Diceros bicornis minor: one gene and its partner. The protein of the gene in region 1 interacts with the protein of each later gene in a biochemical or structural test. Links are inferred from orthologs where the notes say so. Each region holds a gene or a part of one and is shown on either strand. Other genes may lie near its edges. The genes, in order: FYB1 and SKAP1.

What was found.
Region 2: the proteins of FYB1 (region 1) and SKAP1 form a complex in vitro, tested with the Homo sapiens proteins (2 studies listed by BioGRID and IntAct, with this or other methods). The link is inferred for Diceros bicornis minor from reciprocal best matches to the Homo sapiens genes FYB1 and SKAP1.

What each region holds. Positions count from the first base shown.
Region 1 is NC_080759.1:30,295,685-30,299,603, forward strand, and holds the start of FYB1 (FYN-binding protein 1), read left to right. Parts: upstream 1-940; 5' UTR 941-994; coding exon 995-997; intron 998-3,919. UniProt on the Homo sapiens protein: Acts as an adapter protein of the FYN and LCP2 signaling cascades in T-cells. May play a role in linking T-cell signaling to remodeling of the actin cytoskeleton. Modulates the expression of IL2. Involved in platelet activation.
Region 2 is NC_080757.1:37,531,206-37,535,124, forward strand, and holds the start of SKAP1 (src kinase-associated phosphoprotein 1), read left to right. Parts: upstream 1-939; 5' UTR 940-1,054; coding exon 1,055-1,103; intron 1,104-3,919. UniProt on the Homo sapiens protein: Positively regulates T-cell receptor signaling by enhancing the MAP kinase pathway. Required for optimal conjugation between T-cells and antigen-presenting cells by promoting the clustering of integrin ITGAL on the surface of T-cells.

The DNA of each region.
Region 1 (3,919 bases):
GCCCCTCTACTAGGTAAAGGCAGTAGTCCTTACAAGATCTAGAAATTTGCAACCCCAAAATAAGGAATCAGTTGCCTTTCCTTTGCAATAGGAAAGAAAGATGATTTTCTGCCCTTGAAATTACTTTAGTATCAGGCCATATATTCAAAATAAAGGAGATAATTCCGTGTACCAGAATATGTTCAAAGAGGTACTACGGATGATTGGTGTGAAATCTGACTACTGGGGATCAAATACCATGCCCTTAATATCTCCTTCATCAATGTGAGAGACTGAGGCATCTGATGCTAACAAATATTACCAAAAAGTTAATTGACATGTACTTTATATTTTCAATGAAGTGAATGACATCCTATCATAAGCTTATGAATATTGCCACTATTTAAATGTTGATGAGATAGATTTAAATACATTTGGAATTGTTGATTAAAATTATCATGATCCTTCTGTTCATTTTAAGATTATAGTGATGTTTTTAACAAGTACTATGTACTTAAAATAGAAAAGTCAAAAAGTCAGCAAAGTACAAAACAAGAATTATTTGTAATAATATCTCCATCCAAGTCAACCACTGTTAACATTTTAGAATGGGTCCTTCATTCATAGATAGATAGATAGATAGATAGATAGATAGATAGAAGATAGGTCCACAAATACCGATTTTGTAGAAAACAGGTTAATAACGCACATAGAATTTAATATCCAGGCACTTTTTAAAAAATTGTGTTAATCTTGCAGACTTCAAAGCATCACCTGTACCTGTTCTCATATGATTAAAGTGTGATAACTGGATAAACCTGGCCAGGTATACAAATGCTCTGCGGGCTGAGATAATATGCAAATAATCCTTACATATCAATGTGTGAAAGCTGGACAGACCACACAGTTCAAAAAAGGAAGTACGCTCTGCAAAACTAACTTGCACATTCACTGTCCGAGTTACAGCATCTTCGAGGTCGCTGTGTGCCAGGCATATCAACTCTTTTCAAAAAAAATGGTAAGTAATAGATTTTATGACTTTCCCTGGTCTGGCAAACATCTAACCTTCTCTACACGGAGCAGAGAGGGGTGGGGGGTGCTACACTGCCAGGTCCTCCCAGCGTTTGGAATTTTTCTTCTTCCCATTGTTCCATTTGCTAATGAAGCTGCTGAGTCTATCACAGCAGTTGCAAGACTATGGCTTCAGGAGTTCCCTTTTTTGTTCGAAGCCTTCAGAACTGAGGAAGAGCTATGCCTTAGAGAAAGAAAAGTTGTATTCTTTGTCTTTGCCTCTTGAGATAACTGGATGCCAGAACCAGCAGTCAAGTTTCCTGTTCCGAGCACTTTGGATCCCAGAAGAGAACTCCAGTGATATACGTGGGGCAGTATTGCTGATGATGAGAGCCATTTTGACAACACAGTACATTTTACAAAGGAGCTCTTTTGTTTAAAAAATTCATTTCATTATTTTAATTAAGAGAAGCAAACAAAGCCCAAATAGTCCAAACCTTAAGGACGGGTTGTGTTCCCAAAGTTAATTGAAAGTCATTATCTGGAGCACACTTAAAATAGTGACTGGTTTCCCAGTTCCCATAAAAACTAGCTTAACTCATAATGTAGCTGAACTACAGTGTTAATATTCTGCTACACAATTTCATATTCTTTCTCTGTAGAAACTGGCTGTGTTCTTCTACATGCAGTGTTCTTATGCTCCCAGAGTCTAGAAGAGAGCCAACTTTTATCTCCCACACTCCCTCCCCCACTCCCCAGCCCCTAGAAGACTGGAGACGGGTTATCCTTTCTCTCCTTGTAGAGAGGATTACTTCCTTTGCCAGTTCCCAGTGAGAAGATAGCATTGAGACAATGACTCCTACAGGGACTCAGTGGGGGAGGGTGTGTGTTGCAGACAGTGGAATCGAGAGGGCAAAGGATTCATGGGATGTGTTTGTAGTCTGGAAGCTCTTAAACCAGAATGGGGAAAGTGTAGAGGTGAGGATAACCTTGCCATGGGGGAGAGAGGGAGAAGGGGGAGAGATGGGGTCAGAGTTGCAGAGTCACAGGGGAGAGGAATGCACAGTGGTGGAGGAAATTGTAGCACATGACCCTTCCTGTAGCCACATCTGTAAGAGGAAGGCAGCCATCTGTTAAGGTGGGACTTACAAGTCCCTCTAGTGTCTCCAAACTGGGTCTTTAGGTCCAGAATTCTTAGCAAACAGCTTGACCTTAATTACTGATATCATCTTCAAAAGTAAACAAGGGCACTGTGGTTTACAAAGAGTTATTTGGATTTTCTTAAGGAAAATGAGATGATCATAGCAGAAAAAAAAAGTTTAACTGAATAGGGTATGTTTGGTAATACGTAAGCAATGTTTTCTTAAGAGCTCGTCATCTTGTTATAAAACTAGCACATATTATTAAAGAAAATTTCTTAAAAATATAGATATGCAGAAACAAAACAATACACATTTTCTATAGTTCCATCACCTAGGGGGCAATCATTGTTAATACAGATCCTTCTAGAATTTCATCATTTTTAAGTATATTTTATAAATATAATTTTCTATAAGTGCTATCATACTTTATAAACCATTTCCTTATCTGATTTTTTATGTAAAACATTTTGAATAATATATGAGTTAGATATCATTTCTAATGATAAGTCATTCTTAATGACTATGTAGTTTTTCCATAATTTAATTTAATCAGTTCCATATAGTTAGACATTTAGGTTTCATATTTTATTTTTCTTTCTGTATGGTACTACGACAAGACTGTCACAAGCGTTCTTTTATATACAGTGCCTGATTATTTTCCATTGACAGAACTACTAGGAGAAGAGCTAAGTGAAAAATACATCTATTTAAGATTTTAAACACAGATATCCTCTTGTTAAACAATATATTTCAAGTTTACTTACTATATAGTGGCATGGTAAGTGAATTTCCCAGTTGCAATTATGTATATACATGCTTATCTTTGTAGCATGTCCAAGTTATACTTAAAGAGGAAGCAGATTTCCCTTAATTTTTCTCTCCCCAGCATTGCTTCTGACATTTCTATGACAGGTTGTGAAAGGCATGTAGCATATTAAGAAAGGTGTTTTCTCCTTGAAAGGCTTCATAGCACAGTCAAAAGGCCATGTGCCTGGCTCCTTAGGCTTTGCTTACCAGTTGTATGTTTTTTTCACAAGTCCCTTAAGCTCTGAGTTTGTTTCCTTATCCAATAGTGGTGACATGATGATGATGCTGATAGTTACTGTGGAACAGTGTCGTTGTAGAGGGTAAATAAGATTGCAATTATAAAGTACCTACTATAGTGCAGGCACCAACCGGATACTGGATAAATATTGGTGTCCGTCGTTCTAGTCCTCAAAAAATAATTTCCTAAGGAGGCATAGAGACTTCCAGTGAACACAGGAGGAGAATGATAATGGCAGTTAACATTTGTGAGCCCTGACATACACTGTCTCGTTTAGTCCCCATAACAACCCTTACGAATCGTGACTGCTCTTATTCCTATTTTCTCGCTGAGTACACTGAGTCTTGGAAACGGTTAAGTCACTTGCTCACAGTCACACAACTATTAAATATTGGGACTGGAATTTGAGCACAACTCTGTCTGATCTCAGAGCCTGAACTTTTCTACCTTATGCTGCATCTGAGAAAAAGTAGGTACAGAGGAAGACAACAGCGTAGTCCAAGAAAAGCCCAGGCCTGGCTTTTAGGAGTACGAGGGGCCTTTCCTCAGGCTGGTGCCCGTCCCTGTTGGATTTGGGAATCAGCTGCGTAGCTGCTTCTGCTACTGCCACTATGAATTGTCCTATTTTTAGAATGCTCACTTTATTGAAATCTTCTAGAAGCCACTGGGATGGGAGGCTGGAGGAGTTCCTGGCTTTGAAGTTCTCTACCCCAGGGTTCAGAAAGAGGGACTAAATGATCAA
Region 2 (3,919 bases), on another chromosome or scaffold:
TATATTCACCTCCCTCATTTTATTGCCCACTGCACCTTACTCCTTTTTCGTGGCACTTGGCCTATTGTATTTTTTTAAAAAGTAAACTCTTTATTTTGAGATCATTGTGGACTCACAGAAGTTATGAGAAATGATACAGAGCGATCCTGTCTATCCTTGACCCAGTTTCCCCTAGTGGTAACATCTCGCAGTATTGCAGCACCATAGCACAACCACGACACTGAGCCCTGCTGTCCCCTGAATGAGAGGGGGAGGTCTTTTCTGTGATCTTGCCCTTGACTTTCCTCTCTTTGTCAGCTCTGAGGGGGAAAGGGCTCCGTTCCCCTCTCCCTGAGCTTTCTCCCCAGGTTACCCCTTCCTGTCCTCACATCCTCTCAGCCTTAGGGAGGACGGGACACTTGGGCTTCCCGTGTCCACTGCAGCCATGCAGCTCTGATTCTCCCAGAATTGGTGGGTTTACATTACTTATGGAGATTTAAGGTCATTCCCTTTAAACATCGTGGTTTGCCTGAGATAGCGAACGTTCTACCCTGGTTTTCTGGGCGTGGACGTGCGAACTGGACTGGGAATTGAGTGCTGCAACGCTGGGCAGGCACTAATCTCTTCCTCGGATTCTGCCTCCTCGCGCCCCATTTAGTGCACCACGGTGGCTTTTAAACCTGCCCCTTGAGGCCGACGTCCAGTGCTTCGGATGGGAAGTCTCCAAGAGACGAGGTCCCTTTGAGTCGCGTGAAGTCTTTTGTTTTGGTGGGCGGGTCCTGGAGGGACACAGCTTTGGCCCTGCATGATGCGGCGCCCCCCCTCAGTGCACCGGCGCGAGTGGCGCGCGCACAGGTGGCCCCCACGCCCCGGGCGCCCCCCGCCCGCCGCGCGCGCCACTTCCTGAGCGCGCCCGGGTGCCCGGCCCCGCCCTGCGGCTCGGCCCCGCGGCGGCGGCGACAGAGGTACAGGTGCCTCCGCCGGCAACCCGCCGCCTGCCCGCCCGCCGACCTCGGCACCGGGCCTTCACGGCCCCCTCCCGCCTCCCACTTCGGCCTCCCCACCGCCCCGCCAAATGCAGGCCGCCGCCGTCCTCCCGGAGGAGATCTGTTGGCTCATGCAAGGTAACGCCCCTGCCCGGGGGCCAGGCCCCCTCCCCGACCGTCCGGTTGCTCCCCCAAGTGCTGAGCCGAAGGGAGGAAAGGAGACGCCAGGGGCTCCCGAGGCCGGGCTGTCTTTTCAGCTCCATCACTCACCAACTTCTAGAACCTCAAGGCTTCTAGAGTCTTCTACCCTGCAAAGCCAGGCTTTCATCCTCCCGCCTCAGGGGCCCTTTCACTCCGCTCAGTTCCACGCTTTCTTTTCCCTCAAGGCGTTCCACTTAACCTCCCTGGCTTCTGAACAAGTCCAGGACAGGTTCCTGGTCCTCTCTGCCACCTTGCTGTCTTCAGCCTGTCCCTTTCTCCTCCGGACTCCCCCTAGGTCTGGGGGTTTTCACCCGCCGCCCTCCCTAGCCCTGACCCCGCCACCTCTCACGGAAGACCCTCACCTTCTGCTTAGAGCTCCCTGAGGCTCTCGAGGGGCTGCGAGGGGCTCATGGCATCCTGTGGGCCAAGGCCTGGGGGTAGTTGTGAGTTGTCAGCGCCGACACCCCACGCCTGTGTCACCAGCCGGAAGACTTCTAGGGTCTTGTTATCCACCCAGGGCAGGCTGATACTCAGTACTACATTTCTTACTTTTCTAGAAGTGCCCCACTGTGGTGTGTTCACCTTCAAACTACAGTGCCTAAGCACTCCTTTTAAGAGTTAAGGCCATGCTCACTGACAATCCACACATTCTTCTGACACTCCAAAGAGACTTCTAGCTAATGGGCAATATCGTCTGCTCGGTTCACACTTTTTCTGGTGAAAGTAACTTGCTTTCCTGTAACTGACCTTCTGGGAAGGACAGAGACTTGGAATCTGTGCTTGCATAAGGGTCCCCGGAGGAAGCTGCTCAGAGTTAAGCCTTTTGGCATCTAAGTGACATTTTTGACACATATTTAACAGATGGCCTGCTTTGGGCAGGTCATACTTTTGGCAAGCAATATTTTTTTCAGTTTCTCTCAATTTAATTGGTTTTATATCTCCATTACCTTGTTATCTTGGTATAAATGCCTCCTAATCAAATATTTGGCAAGTCCTTTTGGTCTCTGTTTGTAGCACTGTTTCCATTCTGGATTGCTTCTATGTAAAAGCTGTCAACTAGGTATTTCTTTTGAGGTGAAGTTTCCAAAATCCATTTTACTTATGACCTGAGTAAATCTAAACTTCCAGAGGAGAAAAGTATTTACGGGGTAAAAGAGCATCATCTGGGTGTCTAGGAAGAAGCAATCCAACTTTTCCTTCTGCTATTGGTTCAATATTTGATATGTAAAGAGAGGCTGTAAGTGTCTGGTTTCCAGAAGAGAAGGAACTGGCAAAAAGTGTAATTCTGCCCTTGCATTTAAAGATATAACGTGATTCTTTTTATTGGTATCTGTCATTTGATGAGAGGAAACCTATTTTACAAGCTTGTTAAACTATACTACCGTTTTGTGTGCAGCCTTGGTAGAAAATTCCTTTTTCTTTCCAGAGGCTTGCAATGAAATCCACTCCTTCATCATTTTTGATGTGCAGTTCTTTATTGTTCAAAACTGACACTTTGGTAAACAACTCATTTCTGCACCTGCCACCTTCCTTTAGCTTAGATTATTTTCTTGTTAGCTGACTGTTTTTAATTGAAGTCTTCAGATCTCCTTCTAAAGCAGAACCTTTGTTTGCTGACAAGTGGAGCAGGGTATGAATGGAGATTAATTGCATGTCACATACTTCTGTATCAAACTTGCTGTGTCTTAACAATGTCTGTAGGTTCTTGGGTCTTTAGAATATATAGAGGAGTCTGAGATTAAATTTTCATGAGCTTTGTTGGTTGGTTAATGTATTTCTTTAAGGCCTTTTCTTAAAGTTTGCGATTAGAGTGAATCTGAAGCAGAGGAAAAAATGTAAAGAGGGGATTCGACCAATAATTCTATTGAAAAGTGTTTGAAGAATATGTTTTTGAAAGGTTCATGTAATCATAGCAACATATTGGTTATAGGTTTTGTTTTTTATGGAATACAGTCTGTGGTGTAGACCAGCAGAATTATTCATTGTACTGCAAATAATTTGTGGATATTAGAAACCCATAATGACTATCAGTTTATTGTCTGTTGCTGTTTACTTGTCTCCTCCCCCACACACTTTTTAAGGTTAACTGTTGACAATTAGAAAATATGTAGGTCCTGATCTCTATATTGTCACTCAGTGGAGGGAGTCACAGGGTGAGAGAGCTGCCTCTTTAGTGCTGCCACATGGCCGTGGGGGTGGAGTTTCCACAATGAATTACTACTTTCATAAACTAAGGCACGAGCATTTGCACAGTGATTTAACGCTGGCCATCACAGCCATAACTTAAGCATTTTTTAATTTATAACTACAAGCATAACTGACAGGGGCATTTTTTGACATAATGTGTGTGCTTTTAAAAATAAAATATGCAAAGCATTGTGAAAGGTTTATGCCAATATTTTGCATAATGAAGAAAGGAACAGAAATTCTGAAGGTCTAAAATTAATTTTATTTAAGGATAAATTTTTAAACATTTAAAAATGTCTCATTTGACCCAGAAACCCCATTTCTAGGAATCTGTGTTACTGAAATTAAGGGACATGAAGTATATGTACAAGGCTCCATCCTAAATGTCCATGAGTTGAGAAAGGTGGGGTGATGGTCTGAATGATTATCCATCTTCTGGAATACTTTGCCGCCATTAAGAAAGATGTGATGGATCTGTGTTTCTTGGCTTGGAAAGTGTCCATAACACTTTTAAGACTAAAAAGCCGGGAGCACAATAGTATATATAATATCTCATTTTTGTTTGA